Drosophila melanogaster: one gene and its partners. The protein of the gene in region 2 interacts with the protein of the main gene of each other region in a pairwise test. Each region holds a gene or a part of one and is shown on either strand. Other genes may lie near its edges. The genes, in order: CG5618, Lcp65Ag3, CG2082 and PAN2.

The links.
Region 1: the proteins of Lcp65Ag3 (region 2) and CG5618 interact in a two-hybrid assay, tested with the Drosophila melanogaster proteins (one large-scale study listed by BioGRID).
Region 3: the proteins of Lcp65Ag3 (region 2) and CG2082 interact in a two-hybrid assay, tested with the Drosophila melanogaster proteins (one large-scale study listed by BioGRID).
Region 4: the proteins of Lcp65Ag3 (region 2) and PAN2 interact in a two-hybrid assay, tested with the Drosophila melanogaster proteins (one large-scale study listed by BioGRID).

What each region holds. Positions count from the first base shown.
Region 1 is NT_037436.4:20,352,135-20,357,133, forward strand, and holds CG5618 (uncharacterized protein), read left to right. Parts: upstream 1-1,785; 5' UTR 1,786-2,091; coding exon 2,092-2,271; intron 2,272-2,665; coding exon 2,666-2,853; exon of another isoform or gene 2,854-2,995; intron 2,996-3,170; coding exon 3,171-4,146; intron 4,147-4,210; coding exon 4,211-4,399; 3' UTR 4,400-4,498; downstream 4,499-4,999. Other genes in the region: eRF1 (eukaryotic translation release factor 1), read left to right, coding at 1,311-1,420; kin17, read left to right, coding at 4,763-4,999.
Region 2 is NT_037436.4:6,129,849-6,132,887, forward strand, and holds Lcp65Ag3 (larval cuticle protein), read right to left. Parts: upstream 1,142-3,039; 5' UTR 1,082-1,141; coding exon 963-1,081; exon of another isoform or gene 902-962; coding exon 703-901; 3' UTR 538-702; downstream 1-537. Other genes in the region: Cpr65Au (cuticular protein 65Au), read right to left, coding at 1,571-1,757, 2,100-2,233.
Region 3 is NT_033777.3:5,768,864-5,773,701, forward strand, and holds the start of CG2082 (uncharacterized protein), read right to left. Parts: upstream 3,036-4,838; 5' UTR 2,839-3,035; coding exon 2,767-2,838; intron 1-2,766.
Region 4 is NT_033778.4:8,926,604-8,933,637, reverse strand, and holds PAN2 (Poly(A)-binding protein-dependent poly(A) ribonuclease 2), read right to left. Parts: upstream 5,470-7,034; 5' UTR 5,339-5,469; coding exon 5,284-5,338; intron 5,181-5,283; coding exon 4,990-5,180; intron 4,930-4,989; coding exon 4,760-4,929; intron 4,703-4,759; coding exon 3,441-4,702; intron 3,380-3,440; coding exon 3,258-3,379; intron 3,205-3,257; coding exon 3,105-3,204; intron 3,048-3,104; coding exon 2,988-3,047; intron 2,929-2,987; coding exon 2,633-2,928; intron 2,569-2,632; coding exon 2,372-2,568; intron 2,308-2,371; coding exon 1,945-2,307; intron 1,884-1,944; coding exon 1,685-1,883; intron 1,624-1,684; coding exon 1,412-1,623; intron 1,348-1,411; coding exon 1,126-1,347; intron 1,068-1,125; coding exon 958-1,067; intron 896-957; coding exon 729-895; 3' UTR 535-728; downstream 1-534. Other genes in the region: AIMP1 (aaRS-interacting multifunctional protein 1), read left to right, coding at 5,539-5,697, 5,754-6,566; CG8237 (uncharacterized protein), read right to left, coding at 6,899-7,034. UniProt on the Drosophila melanogaster protein: Catalytic subunit of the poly(A)-nuclease (PAN) deadenylation complex, one of two cytoplasmic mRNA deadenylases involved in general and miRNA-mediated mRNA turnover.

The DNA of each region.
Region 1 (4,999 bases), about 14 Mb from region 2:
ATATTTATCACCAATAGGGTCCCTCTCATCAGTCGGATGGTGCATTCCCTTGTCGATCAGATCAGCGTGCATCTAGATATGTACCTATACGTTTTACCAAATTTTTTAATTAGTCGTGCACCAGGCGGAATCGCGTACTTTTAAGCAGCATATTAAATTCGTATTTCGTACTCGTAATTCGTAATTTGTATTTCAATGGTCATGTAAAAGCGATGCGATAGATATTAGCGCATTCTCCGTTCATCTGGTTCGATTTCGACTGCGGTATTAGGAGCAAAAGATCTTCGGTTAACTGCCACATGCCACTTTCGAACGTATCTGCATTTCCCCTATTCAAATTATAGCCGAGTGTTATAAGAAAGTATACAAATCTAATCCATAAAATTGTAATAAAAATTAAACCAGAATAAAAACACCACACAATGAGGATGGGGTATCCGTTTATATTCAGTCGCGAAGTACAACAAATATTTTATTTAGTGTATGAAAAGTTAAATGTGGATACAAAGGAGGTGAGAATCTGAGTTTCGGTTGAACTATCCTGTGTGTTGATCCTTTTGTTTTTTCCTCTTCATTTATTTTTCAATTTTCAATCAGCTTCTGTTCTTCTATTTTTTTTTTTTTTTTGTTTCTTATTTTAATTTAATTCAATTGCTGGGTGTGCCTCTGCAGGTATCTTACGCTACAAGGTGGATTTCCAGAGTATGCAGCTCGATGAATTGGACAATGATGGCTTCGATCTAGATGATTACTAGGAAATGTATCTGTAGAAATGAATTTGCCACTACGTTCGACCGCAAACTGAACTGCAACTACAACTATATGAATCCAGGAAATCAAATAGAATATTTAAATAATATGAGAAAACACAAACCTTCTTCCATTTTTACGTTGTTGGCGAAAAAAGTAAAATTTTAAATAATGCATATAGATACAAACGATAAAATGTTAAATCGAGGAAAACATATTAAAATGCAACCGTTTTACGTGAACAAATTTGCAATTTGAATATATTTTCGAGGGACTAGAGCTCTTGTTATATAATTAATTGTTCCTCTATAAATCTAAATCTAAATCTACATTGACAATACGCCACGTTTCCTAAAGTTTTTGGGTACAAGGAGAATTGTATCTGTGAGTTTTAATCGTTCTATTATAGCTTGAAAACGAAATTTGCACCGAAAGCTGATAAAATTCCGACTCTGCTATCTGCTGGATAAGTAAAATGCTGGTAGCCACTTGGAGTACTACCAGTACAGCAATGAAAGTAAAGTGAAATGGGCATTTCATTTTCTACTTTCTATTTGCAGGCACACTGGAAACAGTTTACTGCGAGATTCCCACTTCATTAGTTGGCAATGCACGTGGACGACAGCAAAAAGCACTCGTAGTACTTGTTTCGCCCTTGATTTGCATCTAAGAATCGCTCAGATACATCTGGTGAGCTGAAACTCGTTTCTGAGCCGCAGTGTCGTGCAGGTATCCGTACTCGTTTGAATATTTGTAAGTAATCATTGCAGCGAGACTTCCAAAAAGTAAGCTCAGCTAAGTTCTGCGGTGTTGGGCATCCAATTAGTTGACCAAGTTTTCTGGTGGCATGCACATGAAACTTGTTTAATCGATAGGGTAAATATGCAAATTTCGATTGAATTTGACGATAATGCGTCGAGATGAAAAGAAAACGAATTGTGCAGGATTTTGGTTACGAGATAAGCCGAATCAGCTAATAAGGCACGTGCTTAATTGATATATATTGTATGTTTAAGTAACCTAAATATGCACGACTTTAATATCACTTTTATTTCGCTTTCGTAATAAAACGAGGTTCACTCTAAAGAGCACAAGCGTGGAGGTGTATGTGTGTTCTTACAGCCCCGATCATTTGTATTTCCATTTGAGTGCGAGCGAAGACGAGGGTTTACAACTTGATGAGAATTTGATCAAGATAACATTAAAACACAATCTGCTGCAGTCGGACGGGGCACTTCTGATTGAATCGTCGACGGAAGAGGTTCGGATCTCGAAAGCCAAAAATAATCAGCCTTTTACTGGCCAATTGAGATACGGAAACTTCTACCGACCGAGTGTAGTATGGCTGAATCAGTGGATGGAGCAGAGACTGTTGACCAGATTCGCGATGGCCTCATGGACGACTGGAAGATCCTGGAGAACGTATTCCACCTTCTCCGGAAGGAGGATACCTTCTGCGTGGATCCCCAGAAATGGGACAAGCAGAAGATAGTCCCCTTTTTGCAGCCAGACAAACTTAAGGTGAGTGGAGCAAGTGATAGACGATTCGGCGTCTGCCGATGTGGAGATAACCAGAGATAACAGAGAACTGATTAATGGAAGAGTTCATTCGAAAATTGACCACCCGACCGCAAATTGTAGCAATTGTACTATGGCTTGCCCGACGAAATGTGAGTCAATTGATAGTAGCACTTCCTGATTGAGCACACTCATGCTAGTATCTGATAGTTTTAATTATAATTGAATTGTTTGTTATTTCATAGATTATGGTCGGTTTTTTCTGGGTAAAGATATTATTAGTTCGAAACAGAAAACGTTTTAGAAATATGTTGAATCTTTAATATACTTTCTTATTGCAAAAGTCGCTGTTCTATAACAATCTTGAGATTACATGATTTCGCACCATCACTTCCAGGAACTGATTAACCTGAAGGTTCGAGAGACGGAAAACTGCTCGCTCGCGGAGATCGAGGAGCTGTGCCAGCAGGTGATCCATTACTCTGTGAAAACCTCGCACGGCCGCTTCCACAATCAGCTCTTTGGCCAGCTGGACCCGTTTGGACTGGCAGGAGCCCTGGTCACCGAGGCCATGAACGGCAGCACGTAAGTCTGCGCCTTATTCCACACATGTGTCTTGTCTATATGAGTGACCGCTGATTGCATCTCGTGTTCCAATCTACAAGTGGTGTCGGGGTTCAACGTACAGATAATTGCGCTATGTAATGGAGATTGCAAAGTACTACATGTATGTTTCATAACCCCCCCCCCCCCCTTTCGATTAATTTAAATGGGGATTAAGCAGAGTTCATACACAATCATTGCAAGTTATTAATCATTTAGATGAGATTTCCTAGATAGGACTACCAAAATCAGACTTTTAACCGAGGTATCCAACAAGACACAATAAACTTTTGTTTCAGATACACCTACGAAGTTGCGCCCGTGTTTAGCTTGATCGAAACTGAGGTGATCGCGACCATCTGCAAGTTAGCGGGATACAAGGAAGGCGATGGCATCTTTGCGCCCGGTGGCTCCACCTCCAACATGTACGGCATGGTTCTGGCCCGCTATAAGATCGCGCCCGAGGTGAAGACGTCTGGAATGTTTGGAATGCGACCGCTGGTGCTCTTTACCTCCGACGAGTCGCACTACAGCTTCGTGAAGGCGGCCAACTGGCTGGGATTGGGCAGCTACAACTGTGTGTCGGTGAGGACCAATGAGCGGGGTCAGATGCTGTTGGACGACCTGGAGGCGAAGATCGCAGAGGCAAAGGCACGTGGCGGTGAACCGTTCTTTGTCAACTGTACTGCAGGCACCACTGTGTTGGGTGCCTTTGATGATATCAATGGTGCGGCGGATGTGACGGAACGACATGGTCTGTGGCTCCATGTGGACGCCTGTCTGGGAGGCGCTGCACTACTCTCCGCCAAGAACCGATCGCTCATTGCCGGCCTCGAGCGGGCGAATTCGTTTTCCTGGAATCCGCACAAAACCATCGGCGCTCCATTGCAGTGTTCACTCTTTTTGACCAGGGAATCTGGCCGTCTGCTGGAAAGATGCAACAGCACCGAGGCGCACTATTTGTTCCAGCAGGACAAGTTCTATGATGTATCCTACGATACGGGAAACAAGAGTGTCCAGTGCGGCCGCAAGATCGACGCTTTCAAGTTCTGGCTAATGCTTAAGGCTCGCGGATATGGAAAGTATGGACTCATGGTGGACCACGCCATCCACATCGCCAGGTTGCTGGAAGGCAAGCTGCGCCAGCGTGGAGATCGCTTTAGACTGGTGATCCCGGAGCACGAGTACTCCAATGTCTGCTTTTGGTTCATTCCGAAAGCAATGAGGGTGTCCAGCGAGGAGGAGACGCCTGAATGGTGGAGTCGACTTTACACTGTAAGTGAATAACAATGGCTTTGATAGACCATTTAAGCTCACATTTTTATATGCTCCTTTAAAGGTGGCCCCGAAAATTAAGGAGCAAATGGCCCACAGCGGCACTTTGATGATTGGTTACTCGCCTCTTAAAGCTAAAAATCTGGGCAACTTCTTTCGCATGGTCTTCACTTGTTTTCCCATCCTGAAAAGCAAAGAGTTGGACTTCATTTTGGACGAAATTGAGAGATTGGGCGAGAAAATTGTGCTTTGAATTATTTTCTATGTGAATTAAGCTAATTAATGGAAATCGTTCAATTGTACATTTCATTGTAGTTATTACTTTGTGATAAAAAATACGCCTTTATTATGTAAACTCGGCTTAATCTCTATTTTGAATATTTAAATAAAAATCTTTCAAGAAATGAATATTAAGTTTTTTAAATTCATTTTCTACCGCTATCAACAAATAATATTAGCCTGGTCACACGAACATCCCCCAGCAGTAACTATCGATAAAAGTGTTCACGGGTATTGTTGTTATACCCCAGCGCGGTCATACCTTTACGTGAGATCAAAACAATAAGTTTTTGTTGAGAAATTATTTGTAAAACCACGCACATAAAAAGACGCTACGATGGGTCGCGCCGAGGTAGGTACGCCCAAGTACCTCGCCAACAAGATGAAATCGAAGGGTCTGCAGAAGCTGCGCTGGTACTGCCAGATGTGCGAGAAGCAGTGCCGCGATGAAAACGGCTTCAAGTGCCACACGATGAGCGAGTCCCACCAGCGCCAGTTGCTCCTCTTTGCGGACAATCCTGGCAAATTCCTGCACAGCTTCAGCAAAGAGTTCTCCGACGGCTACATGGAGTTG
Region 2 (3,039 bases):
CTTTTATGATTAAACTATGCACTTTAAATCCGCAAAGCCGACTATGCATTTGGGAGAACTTTTTGTTTTTATTTTATTAAGGCATACTGGAAATTTTCGTTTGATTTTGTTAAGATAAGTTAAAAATAGGAAAAATATATTCTTTTTTAATATTATTATAAGGGCCCAAAAACTTTTTCTTTTTTAATAATGTTCATGTAATAAGAACACCTAATAAAGCCTGAAGACGACTGGGTATGTTAGCGGTTAGAGTAATAAAATACATAATAAAAAATTGTATTTTCAGTTCTAAAATGTTTTTTTTTTTAATTAATAATTTTCTAAATGAAAAAAATACCTATTCTTTCAAAATACTTATTTACACTTCTTAAGAATTGCTTAATGGAAAAAAACCTTTAATTAGGTCCGTTGTTTGCCATAAGAATCTAGTTCTATTTATCTGAACAACTTAACAAAATATTTTCAAATAATCGCCTTTAAAAAAAAACGACGTTTCCGACCTTTTGAGCGAAAAGCACATTTAAAATAAAACGAATTCATATAAAATCTACATTTTTTAATATTCAACAAACTGCGTTCTGTAACTTAGGATTCTTTCCCTTTTAAAAGGGAAAACCGAAAGTAGGTAAGTGTTGGGGAAGATAACAAAGAGTGTTGCAGAATTGGTGGGTTTAAAGCTGCTTACAGTGAAAGCAACTTCACTTATGCCACGGGGGCAACGGGCAGATGAGCACCCTCGGGCTGGAATCCGTTCTTATCGGCGATGTAGTTGACTTGGTAGGTCTGGCCATCATCAGCAATGAAGCGGTAGGATCCACTCACAGAGATAGCCTCGTTCTCAGTTCCAATGTCGTTCAGCTGACCTACAGCTTGAGCAGCCTGTCCATCGGAGGTTTCCCAGCTAAGAAGGAAGTCAGTGTCAGCTAGGTATCCTTTTGGGTCATTTCTCATAGGCAACTTACTCGTATTTGAAGCTTTCGGGTCCAACGTCGGATTCAGAGCGCACGATTGTGGGTTCCTCAGCGGCAGGAGCAGCCAGAGCCACGGCGAAGAGGGCGACGAAGACAATCAGGAATTTCATGGTGATTGTTGTTTGGTGCTTAGATCTGCGGCTATCGAACAGTTCAAGTCGAATGGTAACTATGGACGGCCGCGTAAACCCTTTTATAGATGGCACCCTCTTGGCGATTATTCAAAGCGCGGCCGAACTAGTCAAACGTGTACAAGACATAATGAGCAAAATCAATGTTAATGTGAAATGTCTGGTTTGGATTTCATTTTCGTTTGAAGTAGGAGCATTAAAAGGCCTAATATAAAATTTTAATAACACTATAGTCCAAAAAGAATCGCGTTCATAAATATTTCATTATTCAAATTTTTAACAATTCATTGAGCTTTATTATATTTATAATAATCCAGCCAGTCTTAGTGACGTCAATAAAACTCGGGAGCTTCCTCAAATATATACATTTTTTCTATTTACTTTTCTAATTCTACGAATCTTTTACATTGGATAAATAAAGTCAACTTATTTATTCGCATCCGGAATCATTATACATCCAGGTATCTCCTAGGCTACTAGCCTGAACTTGGGATGGTAGCCAGTTTCGTCGGCCGTGAAACTAATCTCGTATTTTTTGCCATCTGGAGCTGACCAGCTGGTCGATCCCTGGACAGACAAGGAACCATCCTCTTCGCCGGCTCCAGGTTTCACCTCACCGGTCTCAGTGCGTGAGATTCCGTTGCTCGTCTCATAGCTGGAATTCGATGTTAATTGTTTTTAATAAATTAATTATTGATTGAAATTGTATATAGGAACATCGAATAATTAAACACCTGTTACAACTAAGCATTTCAAAGCTACCCTCTTTAATTTTGCCCTTGCAGAGGCTTATACCTCTGATATCAGTCAGAAGTTTGCAACGCAGTGAGGGAGACATGTGCAACTAAATAAAGTTTATATATGTGTACATATTTATATACATCAGTTTCAATAGTCAAGCCGTTTCTACGCAAAATAGTAATAGTATCTCAGTTTAAGGTTAAAAAATTTTACAATTAAATGCATTATGTCCAAATCATTTCTGGGCAATACCTACGCAAAGGAATATTTATCGCCCGTGTTTTCGCTCTCCAGTTTGATGGTCTCCGCCTGGGCATCCTCACCAGCGGGAAAGGCCAAACAGATACCAATTGCCAGGAAGGCTACCAGCCACATGAAATTCGATTGCATTGCGGAAAGAATTAGTTTTTCAGAGTCTCCGTCACAGCTAGCTGCACTTTACTGAGCTGCGATGCGATCATCTGATGCCCTTTTATACGAAATCTCTGGATTATGTCCTCATCGGCGAAAAATGCAAAATAATAAAACAAATTAAAAATAAAGAAATCAGCTATAATGCAAACATTCAATAAAACACATTTTAATTACAGATTAACACTCTAAGTACCCTGCACTAATCGTGCATGCAGGTATATCCAACAGATGGTAATGTATGCAATTACCTTGTCGACAGTCAATTGATAGACAGAATGACGCCTTACCTTGCCATCACCTTTGAATTCTCAAATCTTATTGGTTAATTAAGCTAATCGTGAACATGTTTGTTTGAAACAAACAGATAGAACGGTGAAAATTTGTATAAAAAACAGTACACGATCACCATTTGCTATATACATATAAACTCAGGTTTAAACGATGTCTTCTAGTCGAGATGCATAAAGTTCTGTATTCGAACTTTTTATTATTGTGCATTGTGATTTTGCCATTGTCATTTCTCATATTATCATCTAATGTTTGAATAAGTAAAGCCTCAGCAAATGCTTTGTGTACACTACTATTGGTATATACATTAATTATTAATAGAAAATATCAATCAGCAATCCAACAAGCATGGAATATTCTACATATCAGAGTATTCTATATCAAATATCAGAGTATTTTACAAACATTTAATCGTGCAGCGGTCACGTATACACGCTGTGACCAGTTTCTATTCTTCGAATATCTATAATCAGTCGGTTCTTTTTCGACTACGA
Region 3 (4,838 bases), on a different chromosome or scaffold from region 2:
GATATGATATTTAATTTCCCAGCTGATTTGGCACAGCAAATCCTGCTAATGTACACAAATTCGAGTCTGTATCCATAGTAATCATCGGTGGACTGTGCCATTGTGCAGTGCATTATAATTGGGACATAGTTACATATTTATTCTGCCCTAGTAGTCCGATTCAAAGATTGGTGGCAGGTGGATTTTCGGAGACTAAAACATTCAGTTGCCATATGTAGATGTGAACCATTTAATGGCTCTTCTAGACCAAGTAGAATTTGCCTATCTAGTTGAAATGCAATTAAATCCAGAGCGAAAAGTCACAGTCAGCATTTTGGAATTGGAATCGTTTTGACTTCTCGTGCAGGACCTTTTTGCCAGGCATTATCTAAGAGGAGCACAAGTTGGCCGCACTTTGACGTATACTTGATGGGATTTTTATGCCCCGACACTTTTCCAACAGCCTGCGGATGCCGTTATGAGGGCGGTGAAAATCTGGGTAAAAGTGTTTGAATTTATGGAAAACCTTGCAGGGGGAGGGGTGGGGGTCGGTTGCATAAAGGCAAAAGCCCCCAAGTGATGCGAAAAGTTGTGCAAACAAAATTCCAGCACACTTTTCTGGCGAAGCGACCGCATTGCCAGGGAATTTTTAATAGACACAAACAAATCACGCGGGCATGTAGGCCGGTGCTTAAAGCCACCAATTAAATGTTCTTTAAGTTTGCGCCCGCAGCCGCAGGGGGCAACGGGGCGTATGAGCAACCTTGCCTTGCAAACTTTGACACTTTGCCGGTGGCAAAGTTCTTACGCCACCGTTTCCCACTCACTTAACAATGCATAGAGGAAAAAATATGAAAAAAAAATTGAAATAAAAGGAGAAACGCGTGTTTTTCGATGCCTTCGAAGTCAACAAGTTTTCGTCTTGTGGACAGGGGACACGCCAGATGCTCCGGCGAAAACAAACTCGGAGGATGAAGAAACTTGGCTGGGCGGAACAAAGAACGCAAACTTGACCGAAAAGGACTTATATCCTGAAGTGTGAGTGTGGGCCAGCACAAATTATGGGAAGTTTCTTCAAGGCGGCCAATGGAAGACCCGCGGGCAGAATGTCGAAGGAAAATGGAAAAAGTCGTGGGAATAGTGGTATAGGTCTGGCCCGGTCTGCAGTATCATGTATAATGCATACCCCTATATGGACAGCCGACTCCCCATTATGCTTTTCCCTAGTTAAATTCCATCGCATTCAGATTCCGCTTGAGGGGATGAGCGAGCCCTGCGGAAAACTGGGAAACAAAGCGAGTCGGACAGGAATACAGCCATATATCGCAGAGATTTACTCCAGCAAAGCCCTTTAGTCAGCATATTTGGATTGAGATTGCAATGCAGGACAAGAGGGTGTGCACCATGTGGTCGGGGTGGAAGTGGCGCAGCTCACATTGTGGTCAGGATTTAATGAGCTCAGTCGAAAAGGAAAATGGGGAAATTATGAGCCAGCCACGAGGGCCAAAAGCGAATAAGTGAAAAAATGCTACATAGCAAATATTTATAAAGATTTAATTTTTATATTCCAGTTATTAGTTTTCTCCGCAAATTATCAAATAACATGTAGCATTTCAACAATAAATTAACCATATTTCAATGAAGTGGGTGCATTCACTTTAACTTTCAACTTGGATATGTTCCTTTATTTCCGTTTAGAGTCCGCACCACTTTGTCGCCATATAATTAGCTGCCTAATAAAAGAGGGAAATAGCAGGCCAATAAGACCGAACGAACACCATAATTTTGCCCATTTGAGCACCTAGATTCGTTTTGGCCCACTCTACGCAGTTGCTGTGTGCCAGATGCGACCGCAAATGGCACGTAAAAAGAAACATGCAGTTCCAGGCTAATGGTTGAGTCGCCCCCATTCCAATAGCCACATCAACAGGACCACACAAAGAGTCGCACAAACAACGACATGCAGAACGACAATTATGCAATTTTTATGAGGCGCAAGACAGAAAGTATGCTATGCCCTTTGAGCCCAGTTCACTGGGCACCGAGGGCCAAAAAAATAAAAAGCAAACAGCACCCAACTACAAAAGGTAACCCCGTGCCAAAAGGGGAATTCGAGGTCACCAGCATATGTTTCTACAATATATTCTGTATTCTGTTTTCTCTATTCGATCGCGGTGGCTTAGTCTGGCTTAGCATTTCGCGCTCACCTTTTTTAATTGAAGGAAGTAAAGGGGATGAATTTTAGGTAGACTAATTCCACAAAGCCCTCGAACTGTCACGAAATTAGTTGATTACATTTTCAACACCTTACGTTTTTTTGATAGTATAATTTTCCATTTACGTGCTATTTAGCCCTTTTCATGTGGAAGAAAAACTAATAGCTTTTTCGTGGTACAAGTGCTCAGAAATATTTCATAATTTCTTAATTTAGGTAGGTTTTTAAATATTATTCAGAACAACTTGGTCTTATAGCAAACTAATTCACTCGTCTGCAATTTCATCACTAATTTCCGTGCAAATATTTATCCCGACTTTTTTGAAAGATTATACCACTCAGACACTTGAGATGTTAACAGAAGTAGTCGCTCGCACTTGCAGCTCGGCGTGTTACGAATATTACGTATACGCACAGAGAGAATTCTAGAAAAGCGCATTAACGCACTTGACGGACGGGAGTGATGTGGAACATGATATTATGGTGTTCTGATGCTCTGCATCCCAAATCAGCCAGGATGCACTTTTCGAAAAGCTGTCCTCCTGGCGGTAAACTGCTATGTCGGAACTCACGCTAATCTTCTCGGGGGCAGCAGCTGCTGAGGATGAGCCGGCGCCGTGCTTGGGGGTTCCCGGCTTCGACATGGTGTGGGATTCGGGCGACGGTAGCTTCACTTCACTGGGTTGCTCAAAGGAACTGCGGGACACACAAGCGTGGCTCGAACGGGGCTCTATCAGGCGCACAGCAGCACTCGAGGATGGAAACCGAAATCGGATGCGAATCGGGCGGAACCGCGTTTCTGAACGAATGCGCAATCTTCGAACGCCTGGCGACGACTGGGAAAACTGGCTTATCATGGGAAAATGCTACGCCATCGCCATCGCCGGCGTGAAAAGCCGATCTTTTCCGAGGCGAAACGAAGCTGAGCGAAACGGGGAGCAAAACAAACTGATGATGAGTGAAATGGCCAAGTGAAATCGCCTTCTGCCCACTCGCTCCCCCTCTACCGTTGTCTCTCTCGCTCTCGCAGTGATGCTGCCGGGGAAAAAGAGGCGGTTGGGGGTGGGCCAAGTGTTGAAATGTTGCCGTAGGGCAGTTTGTTGGGAAGGTGTTGCACAGAGCGTGGCCAGATGGTTGCCCACCAACTACGCATTACGAAATTCGACTCCCAACTGAGTTTTGTGTTGAAAAGTATTAAATTTATATCACATTTATATCACATTTAGATATTGTGTTTCTGGTCCTTTGACTTTGTATGCGTCAATAGTAGTTTCTGGAATCTTCAATGCATTACGATTACTTAAAATATGCATCTAGACAAATATGCTACCTATAAAACCTAGCTAAATACAGCTTATGAACTATTTATTTGTTTGTGGTGTAATTTTATAGTATTTTTAGCTTTGGCAAAGAGTGATTCTAGATACCAACCAGAAAATATAAATATTTCTCATTCTCATTTGTTTACGTCAAGCAATCCCAAATATTTCAATTACCTCTAAAGAACGTAATTGCAGTTTAAAATTCAAGGGAACATTCACATATACGTTTCTTTCCATCTGGCAACGCTCGCACTGCAACATGCACGCACACACGCGCACCTACAGCTTCTGCCGAGAAAATTCCGTTGCCTACTTTTGGGCGCGCTTAGTTTGGCGCCCACTCACGTTCGTCGCTGTAAGAGTGTGTGTGTGTGTTTCTGCTGGCCTGCGTTTGTGTGGGTGTCTTGCGTGGGTTTATGTAAAAATCCTTTTTGTCTTACTTTGTTTTCGGTGGCATTGTTGAGCAGACTCTTTATTGTCGGCGGGCTCTCGCCTTTGCAGCCCTTCTTCTCTTGTTGCTCTAAGCCTTTTTGGCCTTTTTGTTTTGATGTGCTAATTTGTCAGCGCGCGGGAAATGCGCAAATCCGTCTCCCCGGACGACCCGGGCACCCCAATTCCGCCCACTTCTCTGGCGAAATGCGCATTAGAAATATGCGTGTCCTAGGTCAAGCCGGCTGCGGTTATGCCACGAGGGGCTGTGCCTGTGGGTGGGGGCGTGGCCGCCGGGTCGAAATTTCTGATATGGATATGGAAAAAGGGTCACAGAGCATAGGTGCAGAGGTGCGGTGCGGCCGGTACGGTGATATGATGGAATGGATTACTATTATGTGCTGACATCGAAGGCCATCCCCTTCGCAACTACCGATGATGCAGCTCGAAAATGCTGGCTGGCCAAAGTGAAAGTAATTTAAAGTTGGATGAGAAAAGCGCAAAATGTTGAAGCCAATTAGGGGTAAACCAAAAATATTGGATGAACTGAAGGCTTGGATACTTGATACTCCATGCGATTTTAAATTCTTTCGATTTACAAGAGCACAGAAAGAAAAACCGTTGAAGATATTTTAAAAATTTCAAAAGGTTGTTTCATTTCAGTTAAATGAACCATATTAAATGTATGTTTTACGAGAGCAATTCGCTGATCTTCTCAAAATTTGCATGCATTTCCGCCAAGGCCATAAGCAGATATGTGTCATAATTTTTTGTGTTTCAATTTCGACACGTGCTTTAATTAAACAAATGGGGATGATGATGATGACTGAAAGCGCATAAAGCCGCCAGTCAGACAAAGGAATTAAGCAAAAGGCGGGCGAAGGAACAGCGCT
Region 4 (7,034 bases), on a different chromosome or scaffold from region 2:
TCGTTCTGCCCCCGAATGTAGACTTGATTGCCGGGTGTTCCGAAAACGTGAGGCCCATCATGTCCGTCGTATGTCCGCTGGAGATCGGCAGCTGAGGGAGCAATGGAATCGTCGATTAGTCTCCGTTTGGGCGAGACCATGGTAAAGGGATTTTTCACCAACGCACAAAACAGCGCAAGCGATCGGCACGAGAAGTCCAAGCAAATGCATTGTCATCTATGTTCCCTGAGTGAATGGTGAGCTCTAACAACTAACTGGCTTGACTTGCTCGTCGTGGTATTTATAAGTAGGTGCGCAGTAGTCCAACATCAGGTTATTCATCAAATTGGCGACAGCATCTCAAAAATTCACAAACGCCGCTGGTGATAGGGGAGGGCGAATGAGAATTTCAAAGGAATTGAATCGATTGACGTGCACGATCCCTGAACACATCTGTTGCCCGCTTTTGCCTATTAGCCCGATTGTGGATTTGATAAGCAACTTAGATTCGCATCAACGATCAATAAAGCATCACTGATAAGAAATACAACTTTTATGCTTTGTTTTGATTTTGTTATAAAGATAGACAAATACAACATGAAATACCAGGAGCTTCGTAGCAAATAGCAACGCATTAAAACATAATAAAATTGGGAGAAGCCGGGATTTTTTCAGATCGGTGTAGCGTTTGTACTGACGATAACGTTGATTATGAGTTTCGTCGAATTGGCATCGGGTTTGGCGACGAATCAGTCCTCTGGAACCTTCCACTGCAGCTGCTTTCCGCGTTCGTAAAGATTCTTGAGAGCGTTGGCAAACTTCTTCTCCTCCTGCAGCTTCAAATAGTGCTTGTAGAGCTGCAGAGTGGTCCGTGCATCTTCGATGGAGTCGTGCGTCTCGGACTGAATCTTAGTACCTTTGGCATTAGGAAAACCCAATTAGATACAATTCCAAATCGAAGAAAACCCCTATACAAACCCAAGAAATGCCAGGCTAGAAATCTTAGGGAAACCATGCGATGATGTGGCATGTGAAACAGGTGCACCGTATCTATTATCTGCTCCGACGGTACATAGATGTTTATGACCCTGCAATCACATGGAAGTTTAGTGGTCTATTGGTTCCTTACAAAGCAGGGCATCCCACCTAAAGTCGTTCTTCAGACCATGTCCGACAAATATTACTCCTACGTCAACGAGGTATTTTAATTTCTGGTATGAGTACTTCAAGGCAGTCAGTCGCTTTTTGCTGAAGTTAGCGTCCAAGTCGCCAGGCTTGATTCCCGAGAACTGAGTTAGGTAGTCCACGACCTTCTCCTGGGTGGATATGTAATCGTCCATGAATGGAACTCCTTCAGCCGGGCCTTGTCTGTAAAGAATTCATACCCGTGCTTATCGAGATGAATATTTTTAAGTTTCAGTTAATGAATTACCCTCGTATACATGAAATCCGGGCCACACTCATGTGGCATGGCTTAATGGTCGCCGTTTTGCCATCCGGGCGAATCTCATTTTCCTCTGGATTTAGGGTAACGAACTCGGCATCCATTGCGACCAGATCACCCGACTGCGGCATTTCATCTGACTGCAGGGGCTGCAGCGTGGCGTCTGCACTTAAGTTGCCTAGCATAGGACTCACAATTTCCTGGTAGGATTAAGATTCAGATTAGCATTCAGCAGACTCAATGCTATATTAAACTATTAACCTCTAGAAAAGGGTTGGATAGATTTGTTGGCGAGCCGCTGCTGCTCTCTGATGGAATGGTTTCTTCACTTTCCGTGACGGTCGAGCTAGTAGTACTAGCAGACTCAGAGTCATCCTCTACGTGTCTGTAGAAGAGTATGCAAGGAACTTTCCAATCCAATGTGAACCATACCGATTCTTGTGGCGAAACGGGCGATATGCTGTTGAGCGATATATGAGCAATATTAATCGAAGGCCATTCACAATAGAGATCTAACTTACCTAAAATCATTAAAAATATACCATTGACTCTGAGGGTCATCTGCAGATTCAGCCAGTTTCATGGTGTGGTATGGCCGCTGCACATTTATCAACGATACCAAGTTCTTTTGGGTACCATCATCGACTTGGCACACCACGGCATGCAGCGCGTACATCCGATTGTTGTCCAAGCCCTTTGTTGGTGGCTTTTCCGTTTCCTCCTCCTGTTCCGATTTGCCACTGCTTGCATCTGATTGAGTTTGCACCTGCACCTCACCTTGGTCATTGATGCCCATAGTAAATGTAAGGGGAAACCAGGACTTTTGGCGTCCATTGGGAGAATTGTTGACAGCATTCGGTTGGCTTGTGTGCGATGGAGATTTTCTGCACAGTAGGTACAACAATATGCATAAGACGACTGATTCAGTTTCGATTCGTCGTAACTCACCGATCCGGATGCATGAAATGGCAGTCACTTCGCGAACAGTTGGCTCCATATCGACACGGCTTGCTTGTGCTCAAGGAAGCGGCCGCATCAACAGTCGTCTTTTCGCTGCAGCGATTGAGCTGGCGCTTCAGGAAGGTAATGTCTTTTTCGTTGTTGAGGCCACAGTTAATGGACAGAATTTGCGGAAGCGAAGTCACCTGAAATTCAGATGCATTACATATGTAACTTCTTGCTTGGTTCACTATAAAGTTAGCTCCCGACCTTCACGCTCTGATTGGTTGGCGAAAACTTCTTACATCTCTCGCAGAAGGCCTGAATACTCTTCTCGGAGCTGAGAGATCGCTTCAAAATGGTGCCAAAGTTGAAATACTGATCACTATCTTTGATGTGGTTGGGATACGACAAATTGCAGGCAAGTAGAATGCTTTCCTTTATCTTCTCTTCTTGGCATTTGATGCAGCGGTTTATACAGATTTGCTTGGTCCCAAAGATCTTACTGATGTCAGTTTCTGCGTTGATCTTACTGCGTTCCCGATCGTCCTCCTTGGAGTTCTCATCTGTTCATATACGTACATATGATTAGAGTGTTAGTTAAACCATTAATTCACCTGCCCACCACTTATGGAATCGTAAAGGTCCGAGGAGCCACTTGTTTCTGAAGAGCCCGCGTTTTCCGCTGCAAAATAAATCGAAGTTTCACTTATTTGTAAAGGATAAACTCGGCTGTGGTTACCGTTCGTTGATGTTTGCACAGATCCGCTGTAGGTGGATGCGTTCTTGCTAGAATCGAATATTTCGTAATGCATTTGATGCAAAATGAATCGGTTCCAGTTCTGAGAGTGTGCATAAATTAAATATCTGCTTAGGAAACCATGGTATTACTTGCCTGTATCAGCGATATTAGATTGACGTTCGATGAGCGGTCGGTGAGAATCAATCCCAGTGCCGAGGCCTCTGGCACAGTGCGGAAAGATCGCAGGAAATTGCTGGCCTGGCAAGGTGAAGAAGCTGAAAGGAGCACACATAAATACTTAAACTAAGGATAGTTAAGTTACACAAGCAAACTAACCGGTACTTTTATCCAGCATGTTGAAGAGGAACCCTAGTTCGCAGGACAGGCAAAACTCCTTGATGCACGAATGCTCCAGCAGCTTCACGCGAAGCGCGTCGGTGAAATACAAAATCTGTAGCATAGCATTGCAGTAGGAGTTCGGTAGCGTTGCCTCCAGCCCCGCGAAACATGTTTGATTATGCTGGTCAAAGTCAAAGTCCTGGGTGCCCAGCTTCGTGTACTTCAGCTCGACTTTGCGATACCGCCGTGGAATGATTTTCACACCGTTCTCCGCCTTGGTCGCCGCCGCAGTTCCATTTCCGTTCGGACTGCACACGCCGCCCTGCTCAATCACGTACGGAATTTGATTACGACGGGCGGTGCGTGGGTTTGGCGAGTATCCAATCGGTCCCTGCATTTTCATGTTGCTCAGCACTTCGGGATCAATGGTCTTGGGCCTGTGGTAGCGGTAGCGCAGCAGTTCCTCCGGCCAATCTGAGAACCATTGTGTGCCCGTCGTCAAGTGCGGTAGCATGACCGACGATAGCGGAAAGTTGGTGTCCGTAATGGAGACCATCGGCAGCTGTGGCACCACGTCCGCAAACTCTGTGCTTCGCGAGTAGAGATTGAACTGCGGCTGAGGCGTTTGTACAGCGGCAATCATGTTGATGTGGCCCGACTGGTCCCCAAATGCCATGGCCTGTGAAGAGGAGCTAATGTCGAAGCTGAGGCACTGGCTGCCGTTGGTGTTGATCTGGTACATGGATACTCGCGGCTCGCTGAGCTCCACAGTGTCCACCAGCTGAACCTGGCCGTAGCTGGACACGACGGCCAGTTGGGATGTCAGCGATGGCAGGAACTTCAACATCTGCGGATCAATCATCACTTGAATGGGCGCGATCAGGCGCAGCATGCGCAGATCGTAGACCATTAGGAAGCGGTCGATGGCCAGGTTATTTTGCCTTCCGCTGTAGCCGCAAGAGATTAGCAGATTTCCCTGGACACTGAAGTCCGAAAGGATGTTGGTGTGCGTCTTGATTGTGTGCTGAACACTCAGGCTGTTCAGGTCGCGCAACGTTACCGTTCCCAGCTGGTCGCCGGCAAACAGATAACGTGAATTCTTGCGTAGCACCGTGCATCCGCCGGCACCCACATGCTCTATGCGGGTTTCCTTGAGCGTGCGCAGGTCGAAGTCGATAAGCTCGTCCTGCAGTCCGGCCATGACCAGACGATGCGGTGATAGCTGCAGCATGCTCACCATCTCCTTCATGTTGTTCGATCTGCAAGAAATTGAAACCTCACTTTCGGGGAATCTTTGTGCCAGCGCGGTGGCTTACTTGAAGGTAAACTTGGGCAGACCCCTGCGGATCTGATGACGCAGCGAGGTCTGCGTGAGCGCCAGCACTCCGGAGTCCAGGGTGGAGATGTCGCGCACAATGTCGGTGGCGTGGACCTGAAAGGATGTGTACTTCTGCATGGAGTTTGTGTAGTACGATGTGACGTGGCCCTGCGGGAAGGAGCGAAGATTCAGGATTAGTAAGCCTGGCAGGCTGGACGAGGAACTCACGCCCTGGTTGCCCATCCACAGCAGCTCTTCGTAGTCGTCGAACGCCACGCTGGAAACGCCGAAGTGCTCCCCGCCGTCGGCAAGCACGGGCACAAGCTCCACATATTCCGGATCGGTGGTGCCGATGTTGAATCCATTGAAGCTGGGCGAAAAGTGCCCGTTTCCCGGCGCAGATCCCGCGTCATAAACACCTTTTCAAAAAGTAAACAGAAAACAAAGGAGAAAGCTTTAGCTGGCTTGCGTGTGTGTGTGCGTGTGGGTGAGCGTTGGCCCCAAAGCGACCCCTTGACCCACTTAGTATGTCTTCGGAGGCCCCGATGGGGTCGGTGCCGCAATACACGTAATCCATCTGCCGCACGCCGATGCCCACGCGACTTTTTATTGTTTATTTTTTAACAAATTTCGCTCAAAACTGCCAGCCGTTTTTGCGTTGCACCGATTAGAGTGACCCTGGCAGGGCTGATGTAAAAATACTCTCGCTTCTCCGCCAACGAACTACCTGTCCAACGCTGCGCGACGCCACTGTGCGTGGCAAGAAGAAGCACTGCAATGCTGCGTAGAGCTGCCACGACTGTGGGATCCGCATGTAAAAATTACGGCCAGAATTGCTCAAAATTCGCGAGAAACAAAAGAACAATGGCCGATCTGCAGCAGATTGCAAGCAACAACGAGCGCGCCGAGGCGCTGATCAACTCCATTGAAGCCGAGGCAAGTATTTCCGCCTGCCAGCGCCTGCGAACACTCGATAACCTACTGCCCCCCAGATTTCCGGCATCCAGCAGCAACTTGTGGAGCGCCAGAAGCAGGAGCTGATCAAGGAGAACGCTGCACTGGCCAAGGAAGTTGAGGCGGCTTTGGCCCAGCTGGTGCAGCTGGAGCTGCGAAATGGCAAGAAACAGATTCCGGTGCCTGGAGCCCGGGGTTTCTGCACCAGTGCGGCCCCAGTAGTTATGCCGGCAGAGGCTGGACCTGCTACCGCTGCACCCGCTGCCCCGGCTCCTAAGCCGGCCAAGGAGCCCAAGGAAAAGAAGTCCAAGGAGAAGAAACCGGCCGCCGAGAAGCCCGCCGCCGCTCCGGAGGCTCCCGTCGACGTCGGTCGCCTGGATTTACGCGTGGGCAAGATTGTGGAGGTGGGTCGCCATCCCGACGCCGACAGCTTGTATCTGGAGAAGATCGACTGCGGCGAGGCGGCTCCACGCACCGTGGTGTCCGGTCTGGTGAAGTTCGTGCCCCTGGAAGAGATGCAGAACCGTCTGGTAGTGGTCATGTGTAACCTGAAGCCGGCCAAAATGCGCGGCGTCACCTCGGAGGCTATGGTCATGTGCGCATCTACACCGGAAAAAGTGGAAGTGCTCAGTCCGCCCGCCGGAGCTGTTCCCGGCGACCTGGTTCACTGCGAGGGCTATCCGCGCCAGCCAGACGCCCAGCTCAACCCCAAGAAGAAGATCTTTGAGTCGTGCGCCCCGGATCTGAAGACCAACGGCGAACTGGTTGCCTGCTACAAGGGCGCCGCTCTCCATGTTCCTGGCAAGGGCAACGTGGTGGCCCAAACCCTGAAGAACGTCAATGTGAAGTGAGCCAATAAACGAAACTAAAGCTTTGAGCCAATAAACGAAACATCACCGCCTGCACACCATTTCAGTATCAGAACTTCATTATCATTCAGTTTCTAGTACCAGTGAAGAGTAGCTCTACAGGAATATCGGAAGCTCTACTGATCATTGGGATTACTGGTTATGTTTGATTATCGTGCAGATTCTGAGGTATTCATGTGATATTTTATTTTATTTCACACGACAGCAGTACATAACGACATTAAATTTATCATTAACAAGTCTATTTATATGTGCATAGGAAGTGCATAGGAGTGCGCCATTCCTACACACTTTGGCTGGTTTAAGTGCCGTCCTCAGCGATTATTGCGCTGCGCTTGCCCTTGGGTGCGGAACACGGCAATGGAATTGCTCTCCACCACAATCGTTTTGGTTAGGACGTCGTAGGCGGTGCGATTGTTCTTGAAGAAGACCATCAACACGCAAATGGGG